Schizosaccharomyces pombe: one gene and its partners. The protein of the gene in region 3 binds, or shares a complex with, the protein of the main gene of each other region. Each region holds a gene or a part of one and is shown on either strand. Other genes may lie near its edges. The genes, in order: ssl1, tfb5, tfb4 and rad15.

Evidence for each region.
Region 1: tfb4 (region 3) and ssl1 share a complex: the UniProt entries of both Schizosaccharomyces pombe proteins name them as parts of the 7-subunit TFIIH core complex.
Region 2: tfb4 (region 3) and tfb5 share a complex: the UniProt entries of both Schizosaccharomyces pombe proteins name them as parts of the 7-subunit TFIIH core complex.
Region 4: tfb4 (region 3) and rad15 share a complex: the UniProt entries of both Schizosaccharomyces pombe proteins name them as parts of the 7-subunit TFIIH core complex.

What each region holds. Positions count from the first base shown.
Region 1 is NC_003421.2:379,759-388,191, forward strand, and holds ssl1 (transcription factor TFIIH complex subunit Ssl1), read left to right. Parts: upstream 1-4,432; 5' UTR 4,433-4,714; coding exon 4,715-4,932; exon of another isoform or gene 4,933-5,062; coding exon 5,063-6,110; 3' UTR 6,111-6,289; downstream 6,290-8,433. Other genes in the region: srp68 (putative signal recognition particle subunit protein), read right to left, coding at 1-846, 902-1,065; SPOM_SPCC1682.06 (uncharacterized protein), read left to right, coding at 2,619-3,009, 3,055-3,380; meiotic pumilio family RNA-binding protein Mpf2, read right to left, coding at 6,366-8,433. UniProt on the Schizosaccharomyces pombe protein: Component of the general transcription and DNA repair factor IIH (TFIIH) core complex, which is involved in general and transcription-coupled nucleotide excision repair (NER) of damaged DNA and, when complexed to TFIIK, in RNA transcription by RNA polymerase II.
Region 2 is NC_003423.3:2,806,675-2,813,777, reverse strand, and holds tfb5 (transcription factor TFIIH complex subunit Tfb5), read right to left. Parts: upstream 3,905-7,103; coding exon 3,698-3,904; 3' UTR 3,239-3,697; downstream 1-3,238. Other genes in the region: N-end-recognizing protein, UBR ubiquitin-protein ligase E3 Ubr1, read right to left, coding at 1-429; protein mni1, read left to right, coding at 624-649, 698-1,262; SPOM_SPBC32F12.12C (golgi membrane protein involved in vesicle-mediated transport), read left to right, coding at 2,051-2,121, 2,172-2,209, 2,522-2,706, 2,829-3,029; glyceraldehyde-3-phosphate dehydrogenase Tdh1, read right to left, coding at 5,131-6,141. UniProt on the Schizosaccharomyces pombe protein: Component of the general transcription and DNA repair factor IIH (TFIIH) core complex, which is involved in general and transcription-coupled nucleotide excision repair (NER) of damaged DNA and, when complexed to TFIIK, in RNA transcription by RNA polymerase II.
Region 3 is NC_003423.3:1,314,403-1,322,250, forward strand, and holds tfb4 (transcription factor TFIIH complex subunit Tfb4), read right to left. Parts: upstream 6,175-7,848; 5' UTR 6,092-6,174; coding exon 5,281-6,091; intron 5,219-5,280; coding exon 5,136-5,218; 3' UTR 4,668-5,135; downstream 1-4,667. Other genes in the region: karyopherin/importin beta family nuclear export signal receptor Kap109, read left to right, coding at 1-1,781; ips1 (GIDA family tRNA uridine 5-carboxymethylaminomethyl modification enzyme), read right to left, coding at 1,974-3,974; double-strand siRNA ribonuclease Eri1, read left to right, coding at 6,338-6,417, 6,495-6,602, 6,664-7,069, 7,132-7,431; ERMES complex subunit Mmm1, read right to left, coding at 7,550-7,640, 7,685-7,848. UniProt on the Schizosaccharomyces pombe protein: Component of the general transcription and DNA repair factor IIH (TFIIH) core complex, which is involved in general and transcription-coupled nucleotide excision repair (NER) of damaged DNA and, when complexed to TFIIK, in RNA transcription by RNA polymerase II.
Region 4 is NC_003424.3:661,266-670,974, reverse strand, and holds rad15 (transcription factor TFIIH complex subunit Rad15 ), read right to left. Parts: upstream 6,628-9,709; 5' UTR 6,194-6,627; coding exon 3,875-6,193; 3' UTR 3,328-3,874; downstream 1-3,327. Other genes in the region: THO complex subunit Tho2, read right to left, coding at 1-492, 548-596; MAP kinase kinase Byr1, read right to left, coding at 1,800-2,822. UniProt on the Schizosaccharomyces pombe protein: ATP-dependent 5'-3' DNA helicase, component of the general transcription and DNA repair factor IIH (TFIIH) core complex, which is involved in general and transcription-coupled nucleotide excision repair (NER) of damaged DNA and, when complexed to TFIIK, in RNA transcription by RNA polymerase II.

The DNA of each region.
Region 1 (8,433 bases), on a different chromosome or scaffold from region 3:
GATCGAAGCTGAGCTTGTGAAGCAACCAATTCGGAATCATTCTCAACTGCCAAGTCTCTTTGGATACGGAGCAATACTACATTGTAAGCCAAGTAAGTATAACAAATAGAGAGAGTTTGGAATTTTTGCTCGTCTTCAAGGCCTGTGTTATCAAGAACGCTTTTGGTAATTTCTTCTGCTCTAGCCCATGCAGCAAGCAGACGATCTCTTTTAGAGTCTATGGTTCCAGGAGAATTTTTGACATCGTGAATTGCATATAGAGCCAATACGACATCAGGATGCTCTATTTTTACTCTCTGATCTCTCCATTCAATGACTGTGATAGTTTGCAAGGAATCTTGTTCATCTCCGGTCATTTGCAATATTTCAGAATCAACGGAATTTACATGCTGAATTACCTCCTCATCCTTCGGTATACTTGACAACATCAAAATGTCTAATGACTTGGTCTGGTTTTGCAAGCCAGTTCTTTGAGCAACGTATCGTAAATTGGAATCAATTTGATTTTGGAGTTCTCCAAGTACACTCTTCTCATGTTCAGCAAGTGTATCAATTTTATTTTGCAAGACTAGGAATGAAAGTCGAGAAATACTAAAAGCGCTCAAAGAGCCTTCCCAATCTCGTTTCTCGTAGTTTAGAGTACCCTCGATATATTTGGCAAAAGCAATAGCCTCCAAATAAAAGATATGATCGTTGCAATCAAATGCATTCGTAAAGGAAACCAACTCTTTTCCAAATTGATCTGCACGTTTTAATCTGCGCAATGCATGTCGACGTTGACTAGATCGCAAAAAAACAAATTGTTGAAAAGCACGATCAGCATTGAAAAGTAAAATTTCAGCATATCTATAACAAAAGAAGTACATAATTAGTCAATCGGACATTAGCATAATCCTCTTACCTTTTGTCTACTGAAGATTTTGGTTTCCCACCTCTCTGTGTAATATGAAGGGATTTTCGTAATCCATGAATGCGATGGGACAAATATTTTATGTACTCATTTCCTTCATAAAAATGATCAGATCTGGCTTCCAGTAATAAAGGAAAAATATAAAAATTAGCCATTTGCTTAATCAAACCAGAAAACAGTACTTCGCCGGTGCCATTTTTGAGACATAAACCAACGGTGCTTAGATTATCGCATCCTAGGCGTGAATCGTTAAACTGCAAGTTAACGATCACTATGCTATAGTTCATTACTTTAACTCACATTATTTGGTAAATATCTAAAAGCTATTATTACCAAGGACGTTGAAAGCTTAACATGCGGGTCCATTAATTACTAATTATTAATTGAATTTGGAATTTAATATCCACTTCTTAAAACGGGCTGTCTGCATATCTTCATTGTCCGATTCCACTTGTTTCTACGTCGCTTGCTTTAGATCTCTTAACTAAATATTACTAAAAGAGATACTGTTATTATATTAGACCAAAAAAAGCAATTTAAGTATACACTTTTGTCTTACTAAATATTCTCATTAATCGTATTCATAGCATGTTTATAATCTTATAAAAATTGATGCTAATTTCAACATTATAAGGCCACTGAAGGAATTCTATCGCTAAGCTCATAGATTACTAAAGATTATGAATGCGGCATACTATATAATAACTGCCAAATTAGTAGTTTACAATCTCTCCAAACTACTTAGAAAATGCGTTGAGTTTGTAGAAGAAGTATATTGCGTTATACAGTATTGTGAGTGGTGGGTGATAATATATTTATCATTGTAACAGCTAATAACTGGACTGAGAATGATGCTCTGTTTCAATCTAGACTTCTAATTTTAACTACTATTTTATATCAATATCAATGGATGTTTTAGTAAACAAACATATAGTCTTCTGCTATTGTTCAACAAATTGAGATTAATTGGTATGTAAGCTACGCAGTTTGGTATCTGATTTAAGGATACGTAGAACTGCGGTGAGTTTTCCTTGTGACCTATTATATTACAATACACAGGTTGTATAAGTAGCAACTGAGTATAGGTATTGTATTAACTGGGTTATAATGTTACCTATCACTAATATAGCTCATAACTGAACTGAGGAACGAGGTTCAGCAGTAGCTCTATTTATAGTATTCAGATAATATTGATCTTAATAGATTATCATTAAGATCAATCTCCATATCGTATCATACATGGTACGATATATAATTAGAACATGTGACATATAGTGATACTCAACGTAGTGTATCATAGCGTAGTGTAGTATTGCTGACATGGTATTCCATGTAGTGTATTTTGATGCGTAACGTAATGTTTAATAGCGATTTTAGTGTAGCTCACTGTCTAGCAATTAGTGTTGCATACTTTTCAAAGTATGATAAAACGAAGCAAGGCATCGCTATTATAGCGTATTGGTACGCAGTACCTAATTAATGCTAACTTGTGCGTAAATTGATATTGACAGCACAATGATTCAATTTCATTCCTTAACAAGAGCCATCTCTTTTTGTTGGATGCTTAGAACGCGTGGATTTTTAGGCTATTCAAGCGTTTGGTTTTGATCTATTTATCTATTTTATATTTTAATTTCGCATTTTATTTTGCAATGTTCAAGTTGAAACTCAAACGTATATAATCACTATTGGTAAAAGGCTCTTCAAAATGCCAGACGAAAAGTTACCTCAATACAATGAAGTTTGGAATGATTTGGAGAAGGGTTGTTTACATTCTTGTCCTTCATATTCAGTCAATAATCATGTAAACAATCCAATTGTCAAACAAAACTCAACATTAACACAACCATCGTTACGAAAAAAAAATACAATGGCTGCACCTGCTAGATTAAGAAAGCGTTCGGAAAATGTGCGACTTACACAAGCTAGATATGCGATATTTCATATCTTCCTTCCTTTCATTCTTACTTTATTGCTTTATCATAATTTTTATAATTATTTCGATCAGGCATTGGCGGATCTTAATTCTGTGGTTAAATATGTTATTGAAACTATAGTGTTAATATTTACATACGTGATGACAGTGATTATTGTTTATTGTAAGTTTTTGAGATGATTTGAATTCATGACTAACGATTTTCTAGTTTCATTTTCGTTAATTAAATTAGCGTTTGAAGAAGCTTATGTTTATGCACCGTCTGTAGCTAAAGCGAATGAAGGTCTAGCTAAAGCGATTGCAGGCCTAGCTAAATATGTAGCTAAAGCAATTCAAGGTTTGGCTCATATTATTTTATCCTTACTGTTGTTTATTCTCGGGCTCGAAGTAATAGAACAAGATGAAGAGACTGGCGACGTTGAAATGTCGTCTATGCGAGGCCAAGCAATTACCACAGAGCCAGCAAGTGACAATACAATGGCTGAGGAAACCGATTGCAACACTTCTAAAGATGTAGAATCGGGCAGCAACTAAAAGTCATGGCTAGAGAAAAAAATCAAGGGGCTGCCAACAGTTGCGAGGGTTTTTTTTATTTCATCACTAATTTTCTTACTTTCTTGCAAAAGTCACTTTTCTCCTTTATTTCTATTCCTTGTATTATTATCTTATATGCATCATCACTTAATCATTTTCGATGACAGTCATCACTATTTTTGTCTCTGTTATAGAGCAAACACGATGTGTATTTGTGGTGCTAGGAAAATTCATTTAACTAATGAATCTGTTGTCAATTATAGATTAATCATCCTCTTTATTGTTTTACCAAATTGATATACAATCCTTAATTGTGACTTTGTAAGATTTGCGACTTAAAAAATTGTTCAATTAAGACATTACTCAAAAGATGCAAAGTAGTGATTTAACCTTTTTTTTTGTTGGATATATACGAAATAAGGATTCCATTCATCATTCTCAAGTTTTGGAGTTTTAAAAACCAGTATATACAGCAAATATAAGTTGAAATTTGTTTCTAAGACAAATAAAAACGAAAAAATCGACCTTGGAGTAGAACGAGAACTTCTTAAACAATGCGATTTCGCAATTCCTAGTCAGTAGCCAATTTCTGTTCGAGAAAATCAATTAAATGAACTCTTTCGTCCTGCAAACCATCCAACATTCAGCCTAAGCGAAAAGTAATTATTCTTCTTATGTCCATATCACTTGTAGCTTTACATAAAATATTGGCAATTACGCAGTTTGCAAATTTCTAAGTCTCTACTATATTGCAATATGCAGTTTGTACAAATAACCGAGCCATAAATAATTTTATAAAATACGATATATAACTCATCCTTAAAGAATGAGGAGTACAGATTTATTTTATATTCTTCTTTTACTTTCATAATTTCCTAAGTTTTTTCAAATAACAGAAATAGTTGTATACAAATTTCATATCACAAATCAAAGACTGATAAACACGAATTAACGCAGCATAACGAAATTCATTATTATATTTAACAAATAATGGTTGCGCTCCTTGTCCGTATTGTCTTCGTGTAAATGGTCTCTTGTTCTAGTACTTACTTAGTCTTACCATTTTACTGGTATGCCCAGGAGTCATTGCTTTTTAAAAAAATAAAACTAAAAATAATAAAAGAAAGAACTTTCGCTCATTGCATGTAAAGCAACTCGACGCGACTATTCAAATTACCAAAAGTTCACTGGGTAAAACGTGACTTGAAGAAATACATTCGCTTTGAGTTCTTTAGTCTGTAGAAACCAAGGAATAGAATTTGTGCAATATTCATTTATCTAATTATCAAATAGCGTTCTGGCATAATACCTATGCTCGGTTAAAATAACACTCAATGAATGAGAACCAAAAAAGTTTTGACTCTGACAAGTCGGAAAGCGAGGATGAACAAAAAAATGGAAGAGTTAAAGTAAGAAGCAGGAAAACTGACGATAATGAGGGTTATACTTGGGAAGGTGAATATCAGCGTTCTTGGGATATCGTACAGGAGGACGCAGAGGGTAGTTTAGTAGGCGTTATCGCTGGGCTTATTCAAAGCGGGAAACGTAAAAGGTATGGCGTATCAAAATTGGTTTTCTTATGTTCTTCATTTGTTTGTTAGTTGCCTATGTTGGGCATTTGGAAACATATTAGTCTTTTATAGCATCGATGAACGGTATACTAACTTGTCAATCTGATTTAGACTTCTTAGAGATACAACTCCGTTACAACGAGGTATTATTAGACACATGGTCTTGGTGTTAGATTTGAGCAACTCTATGGAGGAGCGTGATTTTCATCATAAGCGGTTCGACCTTCAGATAAAGTATGCTTCTGAATTTGTTCTTGAGTTTTTTGAACAAAATCCTATTTCCCAATTATCGATTATAGGCGTAATGGATGGAATCGCTCATCGGATAACTGATTTGCATGGGAATCCTCAATCGCATATTCAGAAGCTTAAATCTCTTCGAGATTGTAGTGGAAACTTCTCTCTTCAAAATGCTCTCGAAATGGCTAGAGCTTCTTTATCACACATTGCTTCCCATGGCACTAGAGAAGTCCTTATCATTTTTGGTTCCATCTTATCATCAGACCCTGGCGACATTTTCAAGACGATTGATGCTCTGGTTCATGATTCTATTCGTGTCCGTATCGTTGGTTTGGCTGCTGAAGTCGCCATTTGTAAAGAAATTTGTAATAAAACTAACTCATCTACGAAAAATGCCTACGGCGTAGTCATCAGTGAACAACATTTTCGCGAACTTCTACTCGAAAGCACAATACCTCCTGCTACTGATTCGGCTAAAACCACTGATGCTTCTTTGGTAATGATGGGATTTCCTTCTAAGGTCGTTGAGCAATTGCCAAGTCTTTGTGCTTGCCATTCAATTCCGTCTCGTGGTGGGTTTCATTGTCCTCGTTGTAAAGCAAAAGTTTGTACTTTACCGATCGAATGCCCTAGTTGTTCTCTCGTTCTAATCCTTTCAACACATCTTGCTCGATCTTATCATCATTTGTTTCCATTGAAAAACTGGAGCGAAATTCCTTGGTCCGCAAATCCAAAGTCCACTCATTGCTTTGCGTGTCAGTTACCTTTTCCGAAGCCGCCGGTTTCACCGTTTGACGAATCTACTTCATCGATGCGGTATGCATGTCCCTCGTGTAAAAATCATTTTTGTTTGGATTGCGATGTTTTTGCGCATGAACAACTTCATGAGTGTTATGGATGCCAATGCTCCGGAAATTAAAGTTTCTTTTGGTATATTAATGAACGCATTTATTTATAATAATTATTTTAAAATACTATTATGCTACTTATTCACAAATATGTAAAGAGATATATATTTCAATTTACTTATTTAAAGAGATCGTTGCTTAACTACCTTATCCGGAAGATAGTGAAAATTTGATCTATTGATGCTTCAGTAAGTGTTAGAGCTGTATCATATATAAAATAAAAACTAATTAAAATGTGGAAATGAATATATCCCTATATTTACAGATCAGAGGTCAGTATTGCAGTTGTAGTTGATTACAGAGGAAACCTGTTTTTGAGAATTCCATTTCTCGACTAAATAAGCAACCTTCTGACCGTACTTGCTTCCCCGAAGAGAAACCATGTGCTTTTTTATATGCGTAATGACAAGGTTTTTCTCAGCTGGTTGACCAAGTTGAATTATTTGCTGAATTAAATAGTTGCCATACTGATCAGATGCAATATCGATTAAAGGCTGCCTTGTTCGGTCAACTCTCGCGTTTGTAATTTGTTTTAGATATAAGGAAATGAAATTTTTTGGGCCAGACTTAATTGCTTTTTCAATGACCTTAGAGGCAAATTGGTCAATACTAAATTCCACTGCACGATTCAATAATGCATCAATGACTCTTTTCAAATCCTCTCCTTGTCCGTTTTCTACCATGTGTTGCACCACCCAGTTTCCCCATTGACCACGTGCAATACCGTCTAAATGAAAAATGATTTCCTCAATGCATTCACGCTTATCTTTCTCTACACAGTTCTCAAACATATTTTGGACTACGAGACTTCCATTTTCCCCGACTGCAACTTCGTGCCATTTTCCTCTCAAGGCATTGTTTACGCGATTCATGACATTAACTGGATACTCGTACCATTGCGTTTCAAACAATTTTTGCCAGACATGGCATGCATAGTGGTGCATTATTGTAACATCAATAGTGAGGAATAACTCGTCCATCATAGCCAGTTTAATATCTTCTGTCACATTATCTATTGCCTTTTGAACAACGTGGCATCCGAAAGGATCTGTTGCCAATTTTAACATATTTCCCAACATGGCAGATCCCATTTGTCGAATTTGTGGGGCAGTGCCATGCTCAAAACATCTTTGAACTAAGAAATTCCCAAAGCGGTTAAGCATCAGAGGATGGATTTGAGATATTATGGAATCAACAATGTTTTGTTTCATATCATAAGAAGAAATTTTCAGCTTCTGTTGAAGGAATATCGAAGATTGCTGATCATTGCTTACAATAATTTTATCAATTATAACATTCCAATCATATACAGCATTCCTTTCAGAGATTTTTCTGTATCGGGCAGCTGGTTCTCTTGAAGAAGTAGACTCGGGGATGACAGATGGGTTCGAGTTATTCATAGTTTCCCATATGGACTGTAAACTGGCGGCACTATTTACTCCTTTCGAGTACGAAGAACTCCGAGAAGAGCTGAGTGAGTATGGCTTTAACGTGCCAGACGTATTCGTACTCAAGTTATTTGTGGATGCCGAGAGATTCACTTCATTCGACCAACTATCACGGTTCTTAACTGTATAAGTTCCAAGATCGACATCCTCTGGAGATAATGGTGTTGACGGTTTAGAATTGCTATATCGAACATTGGTACGGATCGATGGTAATGAGTTATGGGATTTTAGCTTGCAATTGTCCGATTGGAAATTAGCTAACGAAGCCTCATAAGGGTTAAAATTCGAAGAAGATATCCATGGTGAAACTGAAAAACGAAATTTTGGATCTCCGTTTCTATTAGAGTTCAAATTTTCCTCAGAAGAAGATGCAGACAATATATTTTCACCTGTTACGTTTTTGACTGCTGTTCCAAATACAGGAGCATTCGTGGATTTAATACTGTTCGAACTTAATTTTCGAGAATAATTCAACGAACTTGAAACATCAGCCAAAGCAGTTGCCGAAGGAACAGACAAAGAATCCTGCAATGACATGCTCTTAGGAGCTGAAGTTGCGTATACTGCATGCTTTTTAGTCCCAACAACAGGTCGAACTAATTCTACAGAAACAGAGGTAGATGGGTTATGAGCAAATGCATCATTTTGAGAAGAAGCCCCATCAGACATGATATTTGCATTAGACAAGAGCGTTTGTAATTCTTCAATATGTTTCGTTTTGGTACACAAATCTCTTTTCTGATTGTCGATCTCTCGTTGTTGACGTTGAACAACAGTGCTTAATGCATGGAGTTTCTTTGTAATATCGAAATAAGATTCGCTTTCACTAACATTTGAAAGTTCATTTAATTCTGACTTGGAATGCTCCAGCGATTCAGAGATTGAA
Region 2 (7,103 bases), 1.5 Mb from region 3:
GCTACCGGCACTAACTGTAAACGAAGTTTCATGATCCTTATGACTAGTTGCACGAAAACATTTCACGCACAGCGCTGAATTGCTATCAACACTACACGTTTTGCATCGATAGAATACTTCACCCTTTCGAAATATATGGCCACATTTTGACTCACAGGTTCCATGACGATACTCATCTCCCTCACTGTGTCCTTGAGCACGACGGAGAAGAAAGGAGGCATCGATGGTTGGTCTCTCTGGAAGCAATGTATTCCACAAGGTATGGTCATATCCGAGAAGCGCAGAAAAGACTTCATTCAGAAGGGATTTTTTAGCAGATTCTGACCATAGAAATGAATACATCAATGCATGAGACTGTAAAAATAATGAAAGCCGTCTCCGAATCAATGCGCTTCTAGGCAACGATCTGCTAGACTCGTCTTGTAACATGGCATGCTACAAATAATAACTTTTTAAATAGATAAAATAAAGAATAACATATAGAACGAGAAAGTCCTTTTAGTGTAAATACCGTAATGACAGGACTGTGTTGTTGTGAAAAGTAATTCTTAGGTAGGAATAGTATAAGTACTTCGAAAACCAAACTTGAACTTCCAGCGTGTTAGTAGAGTATATACTAATTTATGGAAACCAATGGAAGTTTTTCAGGGTATGGCTTATTAAATTTTTTATTAAGTTGACTAAAGTTTTTATTTAGAGCACGATTGGTTGATGGCAAATGGATAATTCCAGAGAGCAGGCGAAAAGATGGTAGCGTGAGGCGTGAAAGAGCTGTTAAACCAGGATATACTGCACCTGAAGATATCAAAAGATATAGACCAGGAAGAGGAAACTTCGCTTCCTTAGAGAAGCAAATGAAGAAACTGCAATTGAGTAACGATGCTTCAACTTCTAAATCGATCGATAGGCCTCCAATTTCAGAATTAGAAAAAGAAAAATTAGAAAGACCACTTTCTAACAAGAAAAAGGAGAAGAATGATCATAAAGCGGAGAGTTTAAAGCATGATTATGATAGTGTTGGCGAAAAGCGTATCTCGAAGGATTCTGTTAAACATCTGGATAAAACTTATTCTTCAATAGATTCTAAAAAAGACTTTAAGTATAATTTCCCTAAAACTCAAGCTCCAGAATGGAGAAGAGGCGCGAAACCGCTTTCTAAAACAAGTGAACCTAGTGTCTACTCAGAAAAGATGAGCAAGAGAGAAAATAAGAAATCCATAAATACCGTTGATAAAAAAACTGGATACAAGGAAAAAGAGTAACTGTCCTCTAGTGAACCACAATGATTACAGATTTGACACCCGCTGAGAAGAAACCCAAAAAATAAGCAGGAGTGCTAATGAAAAGCAAAAAAATGGAGAGCAGCTATTTTATCGTCCTTAATTAACAATCATTGAAATAATTTCATCTATTTGCTTCTGTATTCATCAGTGATATGATTTTTGTTGCGAGAACAGCATACAAAGAAGAAAATGGGCAATGATGTTTCTGCTTTATCTTTTGCAATGTGTACTCTTTGGATAATATGTAATTATTAAGGGAAAAAATAATTGCATAATGCTTTGAAAGCAATCCTTTGTTGTATTGCTGGTTAGCAGTAAGAAATGGTAGCTTAACGTTATCAAACATAATTGTGGTTTTTTTGAATGTACTATTTCAACAAATTACTTAAATAGTGATGTGAATTCTTGGAAAGGAAATTTTGTCGCTACAGTTGATTTTAAATTAAAGAAAACTTAAATTCATTAGTACTTCTAGTCTCGTATTAACTATAGAGATTGTATAACTTATTAAAAAGCTTACATATTCGGAAATATGGATGAAATGATTGTTTACAACTGGCTATTGTTTGTTTACCTAGCTAACTATAGTACATATTCGAACTGTTACTTGGGTTACCCTGACGCTGCGTGCCACTTTGTTATTAAAAAGAATAACAAATACTAATTTCGCTTCGCCAAATAACAACGAGCTAAACATCATAAACTGACATGAACTGACATCTAACCAGCATCAGAACAAAGACGATTTCTGAACTACACTTTTCAACATGTTTGAGTCTATAATAGTTGACAGAGCAAAGACAACGTTTTTGGGAGAGCTCAAAAGCTACAATTTTTCGTATGCGAAATCAGTTGCTTTAACAGCGAAATGTTACTAACTTATTGTAGTATTTATGCACAGTGGCTTGGAATTCTCTCAATTTTTCGTATGTAAAGAATTTCAATCGCGTAATTTGGTTATTCTTTTTAATGTTTGTGATATTCTCTTCTTCTTGTATTGATTGCTTTGTACTTTCTGATAGCTGTGAAGAGAGTTTATGAGCATAAAGAGTTAAGGTGTAGCAAGTGAGTGTTCAAAAGTATTTTTGGTTTGATGAGAATGTATATGTCCCTCAATTTTTTTATTTTGCAGACAATCAAGTTTATTGAATCAGATTACTTCTCATTTCACTGCACACAAATTATGGTCCATTGACATTTAACATTAAAAGGCAGATCTGCTAACCTACTACCTTCAGTTTGCATTATCCTAGGTATTGTCAACCTTTTTCACGTTACCCTTGTCGTTCTTTTCTCAGCTTTGACTATCATTGAGGGCGTTCTATTAATTTTTATTGAGCTTCCTTTCCTTTCTCGTATTTGCCCTGTATCAGACAAATTCCAGGCTTTTACAAATGCTTTTGCTAGCAATTATTACCGTGGTGTAAGTTGTTATAGTTTCTTTTAAGAAAGGCACACAGGGGAAAAAGCATGCCTCTGGATATTTTTAATTCCTTTGTTGCCTTCCTGCTGTCTTTTACATACAGTGTTTATTAACTCTTTTAGCTTGTCTATTTTATATTTTCCGTGGTAACCTTTCTCAGTTGCATCTTTATGGCTACTAGTCTTATTGCCACCGGCATTGTGCTCGCTCTTACTGGTTTATGTTACACCTTTGCCGGTATTAAAGGTCAGGCTTTTACTTCAAGTTCCACGCTTGGTGGAACAGGTATCACGACCGAAACACCTCCCAGCACTATGGTTTAGAATATGCAAAATTGATCTTTATTGATCTTTTTCCTTGTTCATTTGTTTATAGGACAAGCATGAAACTATGCCTTTTCCTTGTTGTATGTTCTTCCAGTTCCCGGTGTTGAAAAAGTTATCACGCGTATGAACTGAACTATCTTTCTAGAAACACCACCAAGTTTCAATTAGGAATGCATAAAAATATCGTTAGACAAAGAAGAACATTTCTCTTATTATACATATTAATTATATAGATAGTATAGTATATTCAAATAGTATAAACTTTCATTCAATACTAAAAATTAAATAAAGACTTGCAAGCAACTACTGAATAGCTCGGCGTAGTTAACAATATATTCAAAACTTATTTTCAAAAAATACAAAATCAGCTGGCTCCTTTCATAATTTTTGCCCATCGGTACACGAGTTTTGGGTACTGTTATGTAATTTGACACAAACGTCAAGTCATTAAAAAATAAACCAACCTTTTCACCCATATCCAAATAAAAGGTAGAATTAATTTCTTTTTTGCATTATTTTAAAATTTTTTTACAATTTAAAATTGAGAAAATGATCATAGATCGTTGACATTGAATGATCCATTAATCGTACAATATTAGGTTCGTCCATCGACTGAAACATTCAGTTCATCATCCAAAGAAAACTTTCGTCATACTAATCTCTTCTTACTCTTCAACTTGATATGTATTTTCCTCAAGGCGTCGTTCTAACTCTGCTTTCACCTGTTCTAGTCGACTTTCATTTACTAACAATCGTTCTTCATCGATCTCTTCGATAACGATACCAGGAGACTGTTCGTCCATGTTCAAAATCAATTGCTTAACGGTTGGGTCACATTCAACCAAGAGTAAGCCTTTTTGTGCGCGTGGCATTGCCTCAAATTTGGTGTCTGCCAGCAGAATCATGGCATGCTACAAGCTCCTTAAGCCACAGGTATCAAGTTACCCATGATCGTTGGATGCCGAATGTAAGAGCAAACAAGAATAAATATCATGCAAGTTTGTTGTGTTAAAGATGGTAATGAATTTGATTATTATGATTATATGCAAAAACAAATTATTTATATGAATAAAACAAGTTGAGGTATTTGAGATCAGCAAAAATTGAAAAAATGATATGACCATTTCGGAAACCTTTTGCTACCATTGCTCATTCCATCCAGCCTCATACTTTTGTCTTAACGGACATATGTATTTTTAGATTGACAATAAACATTTTCGTTTTTGTTGATTAACATGTAATCATGTGATGCGCTAGTAGCGTACACAACTAACATAGCGATGAATTGTTTGTACTTTACAGTGGGTAAAAATTTTTAAATTACAAAACCGACTTCGGTTTGAATAAAGTCTAAAGTGTGCATTGGGAGATCAACTAGTTCTCGGGATGCAGACGGAAAAACAGTAAAACAAGCTCTTCGCGGTACAAGTGAAAAAGATCAAAACGGGCGTTCATGCTTAAGTGCATCTTCATATTAAACTTAAGCTAGCGAAATGGGGGACAGTGGATGCCTCCTACCTAAATCCATCAGTAAAGTAACACCGTCCCCACAAATGCGACTCACCACCAAAGCAATAATATATAGTATAAATAAGACTTTGACATAATATCCTACAAGGAAACTGACAAAAAAAAATTCACTTAAGTTGACCAAATGAAAAAGAGATTACACAAGACTACAAAAGAAGATCATTTACAAAAGGAGACAGGCAAACTATACGTATCACAAACCAAAACGAAAAAAAGTATTTATCAAAATCATAAAATTTATTTATAAGTATTTATAAGTTCAAAAACAAACGCTCAGCCATCTCATCACTGCAACAAAATTAAAAAAAATATATGCAACAATGAATGAGAAGGAGGGTATCAAAGAACAGAGGAAATTTGTAAAAAAGTCATCCATCTATTTATTCACATAGAGTGCGCGTCCACAAAAAAAATGCGAAAATCTAAAAAAGAAAACTCCCGCACTGCAAACGACAACGACTCCTTTGTCTAACATAAAGAAAAAACGGGGAAAACAACTCCAAAAGACTTTCCTGCATTGCCTTTAAGCACCCACCCGACGTTTCTTAGCATCGGGATGATTAGCTAGTTAGTTGTCCTTGGCGGCAGTGTAGGCAACCAAGTCAACGACACGGCGGGAGTAACCCCATTCGTTATCGTACCAAGAGACGAGCTTGACGAATTGAGGAGAAAGTTGGATACCGGCAGAGGCATCGAAGATGGAGGAGTGGTTGTCACCGCAGAAGTCAGTGGAGACAACAGCGTCCTCGGTGTAACCCAACACACCCTTCATGGGGCCCTCAGAGGCAGCCTTGATGGCGGCCTTGATGTCCTCGTAGTTGGTAGGCTTGGCCAACTTGACGGTCAAGTCAACAACGGAAACATCGGGGGTAGGGACACGGAAAGCCATACCGGTAAGCTTACCGTTAAGAGCGGGAATAACCTTACCGACGGCCTTGGCGGCACCAGTGGAGGAGGGGATGATGTTGGCGCTGGCGCCACGACCACCACGCCAGTCCTTCTTGGAGGGACCGTCAACGGTCTTTTGGGTGGCAGTGGTAGCGTGGACAGTGGTCATGAGACCCTCCTCGATACCGAAGGTGTCGTTGATGACCTTGGCAAGGGGAGCCAAACAGTTGGTGGTGCAAGAAGCGTTGGAGATAACCTTCTCAGAGGGGTTGAACTTCTCCTCGTTGACACCGACAACGTACATGGGGGCGTCCTTGGAAGGAGCAGAGATGATGACACGCTTGGCACCACCCTTCAAGTGAGCAGAGGCAGTCTCTTGAGTGGTGAAGACACCGGTGGACTCGATAACGTAGTCAGCACCAGAGGTAGACCACTTGATGTCGGCGGGGTCACGCTCGTTGTGGACATCGATGGCATTGCCATCAATGACGAGCTTACCATCCTTGATCTCGACGGAGCCATCGAAGCGACCGTGGGTAGAGTCGTACTTGAACATGTAGGCCATGTATTCAAGATCGATAAAAGGATCGTTGATAGCAACGACTTGGATGGTCTTAGCGACCAAAGCGTTACGGAGGACAATACGTCCAATACGACCGAAACCGTTAATACCAACCTTAGGAATTGCCATTTTGAATCAAGTGTAAATCAATACTATGGATGAATGATCTATACAGAAGCGATGCTAGGCACCGCCTGCCTCTATTTATACCTTTCCATCCCACACAGCAGCCATCAGCCGTGGTGTGAATGGGGTAAGGGTTTCCCCCGACTATCTTTACCACAATTGCCTCGCACTCGATTCGGAACAACTAAGGAGCAAGGTGATTGGAGAAGGTGCGCGATCGTGATGTGGTGCCAACTTTCCTTGACTTTCTTTGCAAGTTGTTCCGAGATGGTCGTTGCTTCGTTGGTAATCTGCCTCGTTCCCGCTCCTGACTTTGATTGCACATTCCATGACGTCAGCCTTGTGAGGAAAGTTTTTCCGACGCCTACCTCAGCGTGATGCAAGCCTTGTCACCTGAAGTCAGGGGGAAGGAGGAATTGCTAGCACATTCCAAAGTCAAAAGGTTGACAAGGCGGTTGTCCATTGGCTACGGAAAAATCACAAGACAGGGTCCTTTCGTAGCGAGGCCAAATGCACCCTGAGTCATTTATCGCCTCTGGCCTCTTTTAATCAAGCGCCGAGCGCATTGTTACCTGCAGGAAGCCGGGTGAAAGCGGTCGAAGAGTTTCGAGAGGACGATTGCGATGGTAGGTGAGGAGGTGATGATGGCGCTTCGGTAGTAGTGGTAGAGCGGTGCGTCGTTGCTATCATGCGTACATTCAAGCAGCATCAGCAGCAGCAGTTGAGGATGACAGCGGCTGCTACTGATGCTTGAGCTACAGTCGTCAAACAGATGCAGACTGTGGGTGTGGGTGGAAAGTGGGTAGAGAGAGAAGAGATGAGTGATTGTTGGTGCGATGTCCTGAGCTTCAACGTTTGTGCATAAAAGGAATGGACGCACAGTTTGTTTATTTAGTGTGCATGCGTGCGTGTATATTTTGTTATTTGCATTTTTGTATGTATGTGTAATCGTATTTGTATGGGAG
Region 3 (7,848 bases):
GATCCGCAATCGTTCTTGTTCGTGGACTTTTGGATCACTTTGATCAAAAAATTACGAGTGTAGTCTCAACTCACATCAATGCTAATCTTCAACAATTCTCAACAAATCCTTCTCTTGAATGGAATAAAAAATACGTAGCGCTTCAGCTCTTTTCGGCTATTGCTATAAAGGGTCAATCCACAAGACTCGGCGTTACATCTATTAATTTGATGGTAGACGTTGTTGCTTTTTTCGAGAATAATATTAAGCCGGATCTTTTACAACCTGCTGGCGTCATTCATCCCATGGTTCTTGCCGAGGATATTAAATATGTATTTACATTTCGCAACCAGCTAAATTCCCAACAGCTTATTGACATTTTCCCTACAATTTTACGCTTTTTGGAAATGCCCAGCTTTGTCGTTTACACATACGCTGCAATAGCATTAGATCAGTTGCTGACTGTTCGTCATAATCATGTTCATATCTTTACAAGTTTACTAATTGCTCCACACATATTACCCGCTCTAAATCAACTTTTCCTAATTGTGGAATCTGCATCCACACCACAAAAACTTGCCGAAAATGATTATCTAATGAAAGCAGTAATGCGAATTATTATTATGTCTCAAGAAGCCATTCTTCCAGCTGCTAGCCTTCTTCTTCAGCACCTCACAAAAATTACGGAAGAGGTTAGCAAGAATCCTTCCAATCCAAAATTTAACCACTATCTCTTCGAATCTATTGGTGCACTTATTCGTAGTTTATCTAAATCTGGTCCCCAAACCGTCTCTCAACTGGAAAATGCCCTACTTCCAGTCTTTCAAAATGTGCTTATAGAAGATGTTACTGAGTTTATTCCGTATGTCCTACAACTGCTATCTCAATTAGTTGAAGCTAGTGGCAATGAACCTCTTCCTGACTTTGTTGTCAATCTCATACAGCCGTGTTTATCTCCAGCTTTATGGGATTCAAAGGGTAATATACCTGCCTTAGTTCGCCTATTACGGGCAATGATATTTCGTGGTCCTCAGATATTTATTTCCAATAAGTTTGTTGAACCGGTTTTGGGAATTTTCCAAAAATTGATTTCTTCAAAGGTTAATGATCATTTTGGGTTTGATCTCTTGGACCGAGTTTTCACAGTTTTCAATGCTAACATACTTGCGCCTTATATCAACCACATATTCTTTTTGCTGTTAAGCAGATTAAAAAACTCGAGGACTGAGCGTTTCGTTCTGCGATGCACGATTTTCTTCTTTTTTGTTGCTTCTGAGCAAACGGGTACTTGCGGCCCAGATAATTTGATCCAAGGTGTTGATGCAGTCCAGTCTGGAGTATTTGGCCAATTGATGACTTCAATTATTCTTCCTCAAGCACAAAAATTGGCGCTTCCATTAGATAGGAAAATCAGTGCTCTTGGATTACTGCGACTTCTTACTTGTGATCTAGTACTCGCCCCAGACGCAATTTATGAGAATCTTATTATCCCATTATTAACTTGTATCCTCAAATTATTCGAAATGCCTATTGAACAAGCTCAAACAGATGCAGATGAAGAATTGTTTATGGACGAAATCGATGCTGATTCGATGTCATTCCAAGCTTCCTTTTCCAGATTGGCTACTACTGGCGGAAAGAGGGTTGATCCATTCCCTCAAATTACTGACCTTAAGCAGTATTGTGCTACGGAAATGAATCTTGCTAACAGAAATATGGGTGGACGTTTATCTCAAATCATTAGCACGCATCTTCCTGGCGACGGTCAAAGCGTGCTTCAATCATATGGTTACGTGATCTAATATTTATGAAATGAAAATCATCAGAAATCAACTTTCTTGATGTTTTTGTTTAAAAATTTGGGTGTAAATTTAGAAAATAAATGTTTTCATAGAGAAGCATTTATTAAAAATTGTATTTGGTTGTCAAATATTTTTTAAATGAGATTCATATCATTATTTTATCCTATTATATAGTGAAAATTAAGTCGAGAGTTATAAATTTGTAGATTGGTTTTCTTCGCTCGAATGCATATCATACATTGGCATATATACCTTTCGTAACCATGCCTCTTTTGCTGGGTTGTAATATGTATGGCGAAGTAGTCGAATAATAGTTCCTGGTTTAATCCCTTGAATGCGTTTCAGTTGACCAATTGTAGCTGGACGAATCGTCTTCAGCAGCATTAATTCTTCAGCCGAAACAGAATGTAAAGTATCAAAATCAAAATCTGAGGGTATTACTGTAGATTCATCTCTACAATTGAGTTGTTTATTTTGAGTACCTTGACGCTTTATATAATAAGTATACTTTCCCTCAATTATTAAACGTTGTAGTACCCTTTTGGGAATGTCCTTTAGTTTAGGAATGCACGAAATAACACAAAAAAGATCCAAATTTGTGAAGCTCAACAGATCCCAAGCACTTCTATATTTCCCGTCATTAGGAATCGGCATTCCTAGCTTTGACCATTGCTGAGGACTTAAAATGAACTCCTTGGCGATTTTATTGGAAAAATCTAACAAAGATTTAGTTCTTTGAAAGCTTTCCCAATGAGTTTGGTCGTCCAATAAACCTATACTTTGAGCTAATGGAGTCAATCTTAAATCAGCATTATCAGCACGTGTAGTTAACCTATACTCGCTTCTCGAAGTGAACACCCTATAAGGTTCTTTCACACCTTTTGTAATAAGATCATCGACCATTACTCCAAGCAAAGCTGTATTTCTCGGTATGTCTACTGGCTCACGACCAAGAGCACTTAAACCTGCATTTAAGCCAGCTAAGATACCTTGCGCTGCTGCTTCTTCATAACCCGTCGTTCCATTTATTTGACCGGCCAAGTACAAACCCTGAATTTTTTTTGTTTCCAGTGTTGCCTTTAGTTGGGTGGGGATAACATAATCATACATAACTCCATAAGCTGGTCTCACAATATTACAATTCTCCAGGCCTGGAATAGACCTTATTATATTGTGCTGAATTTCTTCAGGCATTGAGTTACTGAGACCATTGGGATACCACCAAGAATTGGGGTCCAATCCTTCCGGTTCCAGCCAAATAAGATGTCTTGCTTTGTGAGGGAATCTTGTAACCTTGGCTTCCAATGACGGGCAATACCTTGGAGAAAGAATATCACCAGCAAGCATATGGGGAGCAAAAGCGAGATTTTTCCTAACAATTTCATGCGTCAATTCAGTTGTATAAGTTCTGTAGCAAGAACGTTGTGGCAATGCCGGTGAAAAATCCCTTTCCAAATTTAAAAAACTAAATGTTTCTGGAATTTCGTCACCTGTCTGCTCTGTCATTTTTGATATATTTATGGGAGAGCTCAATCTGGGAGGTGTACCTGTTTTTAGTCGACCCATTTTAAAACCTAAATTGCTAAGACATTTACTCAAAGGCAATGAAGGTCGCTCGCCATATCGACCAGCAGCTAACTGTGTTAAACCAACATTTATTTGTCCTCCTAAGAAAGTACCAGTAGTAATGACTATACAACTGGCAGGAATAGCAGTGCCATCTTCAAGAACAATTGAATCACAAACTTGTTTACCATCGTCTTCTGTCAAAACATTAATAGAGACGGCCGCGCCTTCTCTAACTTGAAGATTTTTTCTATAAGTTGAAATAGTTTTTTGCATATTTTTTTTGAAGACCGACCGATCCATTTGTGCTCTGGGACTCCATACAGCTGGTCCATTCGATCGGTTCAACATGTGAAATTGAATTGCTGATTCATCGCAGACACCACTGACAACACCACCCAAGGCATCTATTTCTCGCATTAGTGTTCCTTTTCCAATCCCACCGAAAGCTGGATTACAGCTCATTTGTCCAATATTGTCGAAGGACTTTGTTAAAAGAGTAGTTTTCGCACCTAATCTAGAAGCAGCAGCAGCGGCTTCCACGCCAGCGTGTCCACCTCCTATCACTACGACATTCTTCCGGCGATTGAAGGAGGTGCAGAAATATCGCTTTGTTGTTCGAAACATTTGTTCACCCCAAATAAACTATTTCAAAAACATACATAAGGACCTTTTGTTAAAGTACCGACAAAAAAATGCACAAAATATATTTGAGTTATGCGTAAAGGTTAATGATAAATTTGTTGTTGAGGTCTTGCTGAAATAAAACGCTATATAGTCGGGAAAGAGCTGTTAAAAAGCACAGTCAATCAAAAATTCTAAAATTAGTGGAAAATAGACATTCAGGATGTCAGAAGTTTGTAATTGAATCTATCAACAGATTAGGCAATGGTTGTAATGCTCCTAAGGTTAATCAGACTAATTTACGTCTGAAATCTGAAGATTTAGAACAAATATATTACAACCTTTTTATTATTTTTCCTTTTTTAAAAACTATGAATATCTGATTGCAGAATAAACGAATTTAAGAAAATACTTTTTTTTTTTCAAGCTTGTCGTCACTTGTGAGTTTGAGAATATTCGGGCAAATAAAAGTAAACCGGCTCTATTAGTATGAATTATCAATCCGCGCTTTTATTGCTCAGTACAGAAATTCAGAGGTTGAGTTACATGTAAAAACCAAGATTCGTAACCTTACTACAATAATCAAACCAATTCATTATAAATTGCATTCATATAGATCTCAATGTAATATAACTTTTCTGATTAAAAAAGCTTAAAAAAAGCCATTGTTAAAATGATCAAGCACCAACATTAGAGATGCAATAGATTATAAACAGTAGAAAGGAAAGTTCCTGTGAAATAATTTCTGTCAGCATCTTCAACATTAATGATTCGTTAGTAAATTAATTAAAGAATAGTATATAATTTCGTCTTACTGCACTGTTTGGAAAAGAAAGAAGCCAATGCAACTTGAAGAAATAATAGAAGAAGCTCTAAGGAAATAAATAATAATAGGGTACGTTGGAATGAATTAGTTGCTTATACGTTAAGTTTCTACTTGTGGATGCCCCTTAAGGAAATAGTTTGATCCTTCCGAAAAATGTTAACATTTCAAGTGTATCAAAATGCCAGAAAGTAAAAATCGCCAAAAAAAAAGAGCTAGACTGTACAAATCACCAGGATAAGGAGATTTAGGTAATGAAAAACAGGGTTTCAAATATGATAAAGCTGTACACCCGGTGTGAGACAAAGAAATATATAGTTTAATAATAATATAACGAATTATCAAGTGTGCAATTTTTTTGACATAGGTTCTACCGTGAATTTGGTATGACAAGTAGAACAATGCACCCGTGGTTCACAAAATACTAAAGAGGTTAGCAAAAGGTCAAATGTTCAAAGCCTATCGTAAAGCTTTGTTACTACTTACTTGATAGACAAACTGAGCAAACAAAGCCAATATCCAAAACCTTTTTGTGGCAAAAACATGTAGCTCGAAAATCAACATTCGCTTGGTTTGGGGTATTTAAGTGTTTTCGAAGATTTTGATCCGGAAAAAGCGACATCATGAGATATTGTAGTAAGCCTTTGGGGTTGTCAACTTTTAAGTAAATCCCTCCTGTGGCATCTGCTGCTTGTTCTAAAAACAGGGTGCCTCCCTCAATGTTGCAAACGTTAATTGGAATATTTTTCTTTTGAGCACAAAATATACAATTCATAGTAGGAATATACTGAAGAGCAACATCACCAGTTAATGAGAAAATTAGAATTCGAGAACGAAGAGTATTTTTATTTTGAACTTGATTGATATATGCAAGGGCTCTAGATAGTGCTCCGGAAATCATCGTTTTTCTTGAAACTTTATCAGTCGAACTCATGAGTCGCTTCATCCCAGATAAAACTAAGTCGTCTACCTCACGAAACTTTCGATACGTATTTGCCTCCTTGGTAGGATCTACTTCTGCGACTTTTTGCTCAGGTGCAATCGAAGGGTATAGGTATTCAACCTTGTCCGAGTGTGAAGCTAACACAGCAACTCTATTATCATGATGAAAAGCTAAGTGTGCGTTTAGAAAAACCGTAATATCTGCCAGTACCTTGGAAACAGGCACTTTTTTGGAAAGGGAGTACCATGAGGCAGGATTTGCGTCTAATATAACTACAAGCAAACTGGGTGTATCATTTGCGTCTTCAGATATATCCCACGAGGCATTTTGTTTCAAAGTTTGAAATTCATCCATCCCTCTTTTTATAATGTGTTTTTTCTCAATGCTTTCCCAACTTTAATACAGGTAGACAACAACCCAGAAAAAGTGTAGGGTTCAAAAAAAGATTGCCAACAAAACAGTGTTATTTCAAAAACATTTATATTCCATTATAATGAAATGGTTTATCTAATGAAATAAAAGGTAAAGTAATTCCAAAAATATAAAAAATTTATGGAGTCGCCAGTGCAGATTTTAGTTTGGCCTTTTCCATGTGACGAGATGAACCAAAAAACACCGTCTACGGTAGAAGAAATTCGTATAGCACTACAAGAACTTGGGTTGAGTACGAATGGAAACAAGTATGTTACTGAAATTGAGAAGCAATTAGTCCGTTTTCTCAGAGTTTATATAAATTAATTATTTACACAGTATAAAGAGAAAAACTGAAACGGCGATGGAAATTTCGTGAAAAACGTCTTGAAGAAAAACGAAAACAAGAACGTTATCAAAAGTTTTCTACTAGTAATGAAAACAAAACTTGTTTGTAGGGTTAAATCATCAATTGTTTAAACATTTTCTATCTAACAGTAACTGAATACTTGTAGACGATACTTGCTAATTGTGGACGTCGAAGCTACATGTGAAGAAGGTTGCGGATTTAGCTTCGAAAACGAGATCATAGAATTACCATGTCTTCTATTCGATTTAATAGAAAAATCCATAATCGACGAATTTCATTCTTACGTTCGCCCATCCATGAATCCTACTTTGTCTGACTATTGTAAATCACTGACAGGAATTCAACAATGCACTGTTGATAAAGCGCCTATCTTCTCAGATGTCTTGGAAGAACTATTCATATTCTTGCGGAAACATTCCAATATTTTAGTTCCCTCAGTTGATGAAATTGAGATTATAGAACCCTTAAAGTCCGTACCCAGAACACAGCCCAAAAATTGGGCCTGGGCTTGTGATGGTCCTTGGGATATGGCGTCCTTTTTAGCCAAACAAGTAAGTGTTAATATAATTTTGTTCGGTTTGTCTCACATTTCGCTAACAAATCGTATTATCAGTTCAAATATGATAAAATGCCAATTCCTGACTGGATCAAAGGACCATTCGTAGATATTAGGTCTTTCTATAAAGACGTTTATCGCGTTCCACGCACAAATATTAATGGAATGCTAGAGCATTGGGGTCTTCAGTTTGAGGGAAGCGAGCATCGCGGAATAGATGATGCGAGGAATTTATCACGAATTGTTAAAAAAATGTGTTCGGAAAACGTAGAATTCGAATGCAATAGGTGGTGGATGGAATATGAGAAGAACGGCTGGATTCCGAATCGAAGTTACCCGCCATATTTCGCAAGCTAATGCTTAAAATTTTTATTTCGACTTCATAATCAATATATTTCGTGGAATCTGGTAGAGATAAATTATCGTTAAAATTCATAGATAAAAAAAATTTCCGAAAATTACGTCAAAAGAATGTTTAATCTTCATTAGATGACTCCTCTTGAGGTGCATGGGACCTCGCATGTCCTTCTTTTGCAGAGGTTGGCCATAGGTTGGGAATTGCGATCCTGTGGGAATTAGTTAGTATGAATCAATTCATACTCTCACTTACTGTTGAAACTGAGGAGAAACACAACGATTAGTAAACCATTGTCGAATCCTTGATTCGATCAATTGTGTAATTTTAGGAATGTCTTGAAGCTTTGACCTAGCTCCCACAAGAGAACTTACTTGTAGCGAGATCACGAAATTGGGGTCAAATGACAAGTTCATATA
Region 4 (9,709 bases), on a different chromosome or scaffold from region 3:
AATGTGAAAATCCTTCACTTTCTTCTCTAAGCAAATTAAATTTTTTTTGGCGGTAGAGTAGCGAAGTATTTGTCCGCACAATTTTCCGATTTAGAAAATCGCCATTAGGAACGACATTAATATTTTCCAAAAATTTGCAATCCAAGCGAGAAAGCAACCATTCCTCTGGAAGGAATTCCTTTAGTCCTTTTCCAATTGAAACAAGCCTCTTTTCAGCTTTATCATGACTTCCTTCGTGAAAGTTTTTGATCCACTCTGTGTCAAATAACCAAAGCGTATCAATTACATAAGAAGCTAAGGTATTTTTTTCCTCCAATCTTTCAAAAGCTAAGGAAAAAATAGAGAAAAATATGTCTACTGGTAACTTCTCTTCAATGACACATTTTTGAAACAATTCTTGGATTGATTCAACACGTTCGTCACGCGTTCTATTAGATGCAACAAGTTTATCAATATAAGGCTCCCATTCCTCTGAGAGCTTCTTTTGATTTTCTAAAATTATATTCTGTTAATAAAAAATTAATCGGTATTACCTCGAACTTCTTACCTGAAACACTAACTTCGCCTTGCTGATCCTTTTCTGGCAACGAAGTCATGAACACTTGTTAAAAATTACAATCGTAGTGAAACGGATTGCAACAAAATTTTTTAATGTTAACAAGTGACAAGGCTAACTAAATTCAATCTACAGCACTAATCACTGATAAATCTTTTGCTGCGTCTTGCAAACAAGTAAAAACCCAGAAAGCTTGGTGTTAAAGTGAAATGAAAACTTAAAGTACTTCGCTACTTATTACAGTGGTTTTTCGAATCAGAAATAGCATACTAGCTACGCAGTTCGCCGTTAGTAATATTACGCTACGCTATAATACTTACGTTGATTATCACTATATGTCACATGTCCTAATTATTCATCGTACACGTACGTTACGATATTTAGGTGATCTTAATAATAATCTCTTAAAAATTTATATTATTTTGAATACTGTAAATAGAGCTACTGTTGATCCTCATTCCTCAGTTCAGTTAATAGCTAAATTAATGATAGGTAACAATATAATCTAGATAGTATAATACATACAACCTGTAGCTACAAATATTACCTGTATATTGCAATATAATAGGTCACAAGGAAAACTCTTTGGAGTCTACGTATCGTTAACACAGATACCAAACTGCATAGCTGGCAAGTAAATAATAATTGCTTACTTCGTTAAATTTTACATCTGAATGGTTTATGTATTAATTGTAATATTTGCAAACTACGGGCTTTAAGCTTTAATTTTTTATCATCTGGTTTATTAGAAGTTGTGCGATTTGACATGCAGGACTCTGATTAACTTGCTTGGGTAAAACTTAACTCAGACTATTGTGGACGCTGTAACTCAAGTAGTTAAAAAAAACATTCATTGACTTAAATCGAAAGCAATTCAGTGTACCGAGAATTACATTTGAACACAGTCGTAATGATAATTAATAATGGAATAACCAAAAAAAGAGGGCATTTACATAGCACTTTAATGAAGTAAAAAATTGATAAACAAAATATGATACCTATTTATGGCCGATCTAATAATGCTTTGTATTAAGAAAAAAGCGGAAATATTCGTCAACGACAAAATCTCATTGTTCTCCACATTGTGTTGTACCACTATAATTGAAGAGGTGTGGTTAGAACCAAAAATATCCATTTCATGACAAAGTTTAATTTAAAAAGATTTTTCTGAAATCCTTCTTTTTGACGACAAGATGTTTAAAGGTCTAACATAATTTATGTATCCATTGCGTCCTTTGCACATTTACGAGGATCTAAAGTTGGAGGCCCAAGAAGCAAGGTCAACATTAATCATAAGAGCCTGTTGAAAATATGGCATCGCACAGAGTTGTTGTGGAGAGGCGCGAAGTGTAGGGTCTTTATGTAAACAGGCATCAACGAAAAGTCTGAGGTCTTCAGGAAACGAAGATGGAAGTCTAGGTGGTTCTTCTTGAACAATACAATGAAGCAAATCTAGGATCCCTATTGAATCATCGATATTCGAAAACGACCAAGGTAATTCTTGGGTGGCAAGTTCAATAATGCTGATTCCTAGAGACCAAATATCACTTTTGACTGTATATTTTCCACCTCTAATTCGTTCAGGAGACATATAAGTTGAAGTCCCCACAAACGTTTGAGCAACCGAGTTAACTAGTTCACCTGAAACTCCAAAATCGCATAACTTTATTTCACCACGAGAGTTGACGACAACGTTGCTAGGCTTTAAATCCCTGTGAATGATATGTAAAACGTTGTATAAATAAATGAGACCCTTCACCATAGAATTTATAATTTTTCCTAGAATATCTAACGGAATAGGACCTCCCTCCCGAAGAATTGCATCAAGCGATCCGCAATCCATGTATTCCATACATAATGAAATGTTGTTTTTATACTGAAAAGCTCCATAAAAACCGACTATGTAGGGTGAACGACAGTGGTGTAGAACACCTAACTCTCGCAAAATCTGCTTCTGAAGTTTAGAGTCTGACCCAACATAAACTGTTTTCCTAGCCATAAAAATATTTCTATGCTTTACCAATGAAACAGCCCCACCATTTCCCTCTCCCAAATGCCTCACTACTTCCAAACTGCTATTGTCCAAATCAGATATCCAAGCTGGGCGTCGATTCATATGCGCACATTGCTCCATAAATGCTTCGACATTGGATTCAAAGCTTTTTTGATTGTTAATTAACTCTTCCTTATGATCATTATCAGAGCTTTTAACAGAGGCGTTAGGATTCAACACAAGACCTTTTGGATTTCGACGTCGTTTAAACATTTCTAGCTATTGGCCAAATTCTCAAAGAAACCTGTATCGAAGATTATATCATTTAAGATACTATTAAAGTTGCTTCTTTTTCTGTAATTTGACAGCTGACTGTATTCAATAAGTTACTTTGCTAATCAAAGATACAAAGCAGTAGTTATGACAGGATTCTGACTACCCCAACGTGACTAGAGACAACCCTTGCAATAAGCTACACTTATTTTTTTTTCTATATTTAAGAATTCCTGAAAGCGGTATCCTTTTTGTGCTAGAGTAATTTTTTTATACAGTAGTTTGGTAAAGAAACCATCATTGATCTTATATGTGCTTGGCAATTACGTATAAGCCAACCGTGAATCCGTAAAACCAAAAGATTTTTTATTTTCAAGAAATTTATATATTACATAGAATACAGCAATGAATCAGTTGTACAACCCCAAAACGTTCATTTATTTAGAACTAAGTATGGGAGACTAATTTTATCGACATAAAACTATCAAGGAAATTTTTTAGATTATGAGAATATATTATGAATATGTAAACTTTTGTTTTATGTATCTAAATGATAAACAGATGTTTTGTTTATATAACTAGGCTTACAATTACTGCATCACGTATTTTAACTAGCTCGCTTAATGTAAGCTTAATTTCCATAGCAGCATGAAATTGCCAATAATCACTCTTTGAAACGCTGGATTGTTATTGATGGGATGGAAAATTTAAGAAGCATTACAACAACTGAAACCGATTTTATTTGAACACAGTCTCTAAAAAAATTTTAAAGTACTTCGAATTTAGCGACTCGCAAATTAATTGCCAACTGAGTGTAAATAATATTTTTTCTCTGCTCTGCGATCTTAAAACAATTCGTAAGTAGCATGCGTATCGTGATGACGATTGAAATGTCCACTATACAACTCTCGAATACAAGTTGATACATACATTGTCCACACCTACAAAAAAGTTAGCCATTCGCTTCCAAATATCTTCATCGCTGTGTTCATGAGTTTTGGATTGCCTTAGTAAAGATGATTAGAATCAAAGTATTTTACAAATGGCTTCTATTAAGTTTCAACCACATCAATATCCATCTCATCCTCATGTTTGGATTGTTCTATAGCCGCAGACTTCAATGCTTTCTTCTGATGAATCAACAAATCATCAAGACTCCACCAAGAAATCCCTTCCTGATCAGACGCAGTGAAAGGCTGTGCCATAGTTCGTAAAAATTTTTTCGCCAAAGCGAGGGACATATCAGTGCTTAAATTTGTAGCGCCTTCGGTTATATACTGTTGAATCCATTTAGGTAATTTTGTACGCTTATCAGACCGACCATATCGTTTATCTGCTAACACCATAATTCCATGATCATCTTTTCCACGCAAAACGCGACCTAAACATTGGGCAGCATGCCGCATGGCATCAAATGTTAAGAAATCTGCTTCCCGAATTTGATACGTATCCCTCAGAAATTCTAACCGTGCTTTTAAAACACGACTCTCAGTATACTGATACGGAATACCAAACATGATTACTGCTCTACCATAATGATGATCAAAATCCACTCCTTCTGAGACTTTTCCTCTAGCGACTGACAGCAATACTGCTCCACGGCCATTGCTGCAAGCAGCCCGGTAAGTCTCTAAGGCGAGAGTTGTTTCATGAGGATCTGGTGTTTCCACCAAAATCAACTTATACTTCCAGACTTCATCTAGAATACCCATACTTTGCCAACTAGAAACAATACTTTCAAGGTAGAGATAACTTGGAAAAAATGCGACTAAGCCATCAGGTGTAATTTTCGAAAACTCAACCAGTATATTACCGTAATTGCGAACAACACTAGGATCATTACGGGCTTCAAATTTTGAAGAAATAGCTACTTGATCGCTACCCCGAGTAACTACCATAGGAAGGAAACAGTTTCGTGCAAGTGACATTCCATACGATTCCTGCATAACAGTATTAAACTGCAACATCTTGGGGTACATATCGAGGGGGGATAAAGTACCACTCGTGATAATCACAGACCTAAATCTTTCGAAAACTGGTTTAATAGCTATTGAGGCGTCAAGACAGGAAAACCGCAATATTGGATTGGGAACTGTAGCATTTTCTGTTTCAAAGGGTTCCAAAATTAGGATAAATCCACGCTCATAAGTAGCAACAAGGGTCGCAAAAGCTACTACTTGCTGCAAAGAATGAAAATCTTCAACTAGTGAAATTTGTAAGGCACGAACAAGACTAGTGAGTCGCTCAGCGCAAAACCGAAGCGGCTTTTTGTCTATAAATGTAATGTCTTTAACATGTTGCAAAAAAGAAGTTGGTGTTTCAGCAATAACGTGCAAAACTTTCATCCTTGTTTTTAAATATTCTACAAAACGCTTCAAAAATGCAATAAAATGTTCGGCTCGTCGAATATTTCCAGGAACAGCTTCCTTTAAAACATCCTCAGGCAAAACGGGATTCGCCATAAACTGGTCTTCGTCATTTGCGGCATTAGCATCTTGAAGGCCCCGAACAAGCTTTTGGTATTCATCCTGAAGTTTTTTTGAGTCAGACTGTTTTACTTCGTTGACTTTTTGCTCAAGAGACAAAATGCTCTTCGAAGCTTTTCTCAAAGAAGATTCTGTCAAATCAATACTTAAAGACTCAATACACACATTGTCAATATTGTGTGCTTCATCAAAAACAACAATGCAATCTTTACTGAGTTCTCGAGAAACTCGTTCAGCAATTTTGGGGTCTAGTAAATAATGATACGAATAAATAATAACATTACAAAACGGTAGCATACGACGTACAGTAAAATAGGGGCATCGTGTAGTTTTTTCGCCGTATTCTGTGATATCATCAAGGGTCCAAACACCGTTAGATATAAGGCTGTGTGGCTCAAGATCTTCCAAATTGTCGTGGAACTCACAAGTAGGAACATCCATACCAGCCAATCTTTGCTCCCGCACAAAACCCGCCGTAAGTGAGCGACAACGGGCATCTACCACATTCCCATTTTTTTCACGACGAACAGAAGGGTGTAAACATAAATTTTTGCGACTGGTTAGTCCGAGACCCAAAAATGGTTCTTCATATCCTAACTGTGAAGTCCGATACGCCATTAAACGCTTCAATTCAGCTAATGCTTTATCAATTTCCGACATGGTACGTGAACAATAGATGAGCTTGCGATGCTCAGGATAATGTTGTTGATATGAAACAATAAGGGACAAAAGAGAAATGGTCTTTCCAGTACCCGAAGGCATTTCTAAGAGCGCAATGCCTCCCGCATCCAAAGAATGTTTCAAATCACACATATACTGATACTGCTCGGGATAGATGCGTGGATAAGGAAACAGAATAGGTAGATCGTCAATATAGAACTTCATTATGGGTGTAATCCGTTGACTTTGAGGAAATTAATTTGAGTATATGACAGCCTATTGGACCAAAAAAAAATTTAGGAATTAAATAATAAGATAAAAAGTTGAAACAAAAGAATTATGAACTAGCATTGATGAATAATAGTGGGTAAAGATCGCTTAACAATCGCTTCATAAAAATGAAATGAATAAAGCGAGAAATAAATTTTTATGGGTATTATAAGAATGAGGTAGGTTCTGCTTTGGTTCAATATTTAGTCGTCAATCACTGATACACAAATATGAATAAGTTCACAAAGATAAATAAATAAACATGGGATGGAAGAGGGTAAAACAAAACGAACCAAGAAATAATTCTGACCTAAGGTTTAAGTGAGCTACTTTACAGTGAGAATCTCAGGAGAAACTACTTGTCGATCCAAGCTTAAAGAATGAGTCCTGAAATTAACAGTGGCTGCTTTATATTTGTAGTGCATATAGAACTGGATTATGAAGAACGCTGAGTTGGTACGGTAAACATTTATAAGCAAAATACTGTAAAGTACGTTAAATTGGATAATATTCGTAAATACATGGTGTACATACAACTATACATTGATGGAAATGACATGGTTAATGGAAGATGCAATTGCTTAATAAATACTAGTTTATTGGAAAAAAAATTCGTATTTTCGTAGTTACCGAGCATAAGCGCTACTTTGTTTTCTGAAAACAAGTTTCCGCAATACTACTCCTAAATAAACACAAGGCAAAAAGAATACATTTGCAATATTCCATTTATTTTGTTTTACAAGTCAATTCCCGACTCTGTAGACAAGTGAAAAAGGGCAAACTCACATATAGCTGCTGAATCATTTGCAAACTAATAACCGCTTATTCAAGCTTAATGAATATTATTCTAAAGAGGGAAAAACAAATACATACGTATCAGGATAAAAAATAAAAGGAATTAGAATCGCCAGGTGAGCAATAAACAGCAAGTCACCGAAGAGTTATCTTCTTGAAATCATACAGAATACTATATCAACAGTTTTTGAAATGAATGAAGTGGTTTTTTATTATCCCGTAATCACCGGTTAGTACAGTTTACCGGTTTTAATGACATTCCGTATGTTGAGGAGACAATACGGATTGATTTGCCTGTTCACTTATGTGTAGATGATAAGGAAAAGTGCTTTATCAATTTTTCACGAATTATGAAACCCATCAGCAATCATGTTTAATGAAAACATACCCAAGGTTGACATCAAGCAAATCAGCAGATCGTCAAAACTGTTACGTTTTATTTTACCTAATGTCTCTTGGCAATCTCTATCAATCATCGATGACAAGTATTGTGAAAGATGAAAGATGATTAGTAATGATCAATCTTGATATTTTAAAAATCTCTCCCATTCACTAATTTCTGGCTAATTAATTAACTCACTACACATCTAGTATATCGACGAGTATCCGGCTTTCGGGTATAAAAGAAGAGCATGAAATTCCACGAAAACAAACTTAACGAATCATTCATTAGCGATGCTACAAAACAATATACTGTTGGAGTTTGCCGCTCGGTAACAAGAAAATGGCATTCATAACAACGACCCATTCCAACCGTAATGGGCCATACTGAGTTTTTCTGTGGTTACTCAAAATCGTTGATCAAATTCATGGTAGCTGTTTCTTGATTCACTTTTACTCGGGACTTGTAAAGCCGATTTTCGGAAAAGTGTGATGAATAAATGACGCTGTCGGAAACAACTGGTATTTTTGGGTTGGCGAGTAGGTTATTTTCTACAAAACATACAAATAATACAATACATTGCTAGCAAAATCAATAGTGCATATATAGTACTAATAACAAAGAGTATTTAAAAAACAACATATCGATTTAGCAGAAAAAAATGGGAAGGAAGGTATTGAAATAGAGGATAGATGGCATGGCTCATTAAATGTAGGAAACCAAAGTAAGGATGACTGGTTTGAGATTATTTCCTTACATCCCGTAACATGCAAAAAAATGCAGCAATTTAACACGGTGGAGGGAAAGTATCGAATTTTTTTACTGGTAAATGTAATATATTGGATTGAAACAACTCCGCTTGCCATTATTAAATAAAAAATAATTCTTTTCGTTAACTAAAAAGTGAAATCAAAATTAATTTAAAAAAAAAGAAAAGTTAAAGGAATACTATGCTACCAATATTTCCCTCGAGTTTATATTGATAAAGCATTTAGCTAGGCTTACAAATAAGTTGCTTGCTTCATATATATCTTATTACCTGTTTGATAGTGAAAAACAATATTCAGCCCCAACGGTTCGGTTCCTTTTTGCTTAATTGTACTACCACACAACACAATACAAAGCTTAAATCCTGAACCTAGGAAATGGGTATGCGGTCCGTTCAACGAATGTTGAAGTTGCATCGTCCTAGATAATCCTAGGAGCAAAAGCTTTGATTGCTTGCTCAGCCTTTGCTATGAGAAAAAGGAGTCGATAACTTGAGAACACAGCGATCGGATTTCCCTTTAAAGATGGAAGATTCATTTGTTACATAAGAAATTCATGTCAAAATGATTTCTGTTTACACTGCGTTTTATAGATGTTACTATGTATAGCAAGATTAATTAACATGTTATTGTTATTTGTTATTATGTTTTTAATACTATGTATTTATAGCATCTGTAATGTCTGCGTTTTTCAACTGCCAAAGAGCGCATTTTCTACAAGTTTCGGTTAATGTTGCAAATAACCGATTAGACTTTCATGTCATGACACTTGATTTCACTTGTGCTGACGCTTTTTTATGAACGGCATATCGCTGTTCAGCTGCTTTACCGACATGTAATGGCCAAATCTCGAGCTTGACACTTTGTAAAAAGTCTCAATAATAATTCCCCATCCACAACTGACATACATAATTGATAGTACTTACTAGCCTTTACCCTTGCCAGCCAGACAGCTTCCACTGTACTGAGGTCAGGGATCATGACATAGACTGATTGCAAATTACGAACAAGACCGTCAATCTGCACTTTAGCATCTCCTAAAATAATAATCGTTAAAGCCGACTAGCTATTAGGGATGACGGGAGGAGCAAAAAAATAGCCTGAAAAAAGAAAAAGAAAAGAAAGCGTATTTAAAGAAAGGTTAAAATTTTCTTTGTTCTTTCAATAAGTAAGCAGTTTACTCCTGGTCCAGAAGTGCGACGGACCTTGCGTGCCGGTAAGGAAGTTGCAAAAAAAAAAAAAAAGGAAAAAAAGAACCGAGATAAAGTTGACTTTCAACTTCCGTCTGCAGTAACCGGATTTCCCAAAAATTTCAACGGGTAATTCAATTATGCAAGGGGATTGTCATTCTTTTTTTTACATTTTTGAGTTTCACGACACATTAGTCCCTTAATTGCAGCTACAACCATGCCTTGTTGCCTATTTTTTTCCTTTGCTTAATTACAATTTCTCACCCCATTTGAAGTCATGTTGATTGAATTTTTCACATCCCGTTTTCAAGCTCTAACATCAGTCATTGTAGATGAT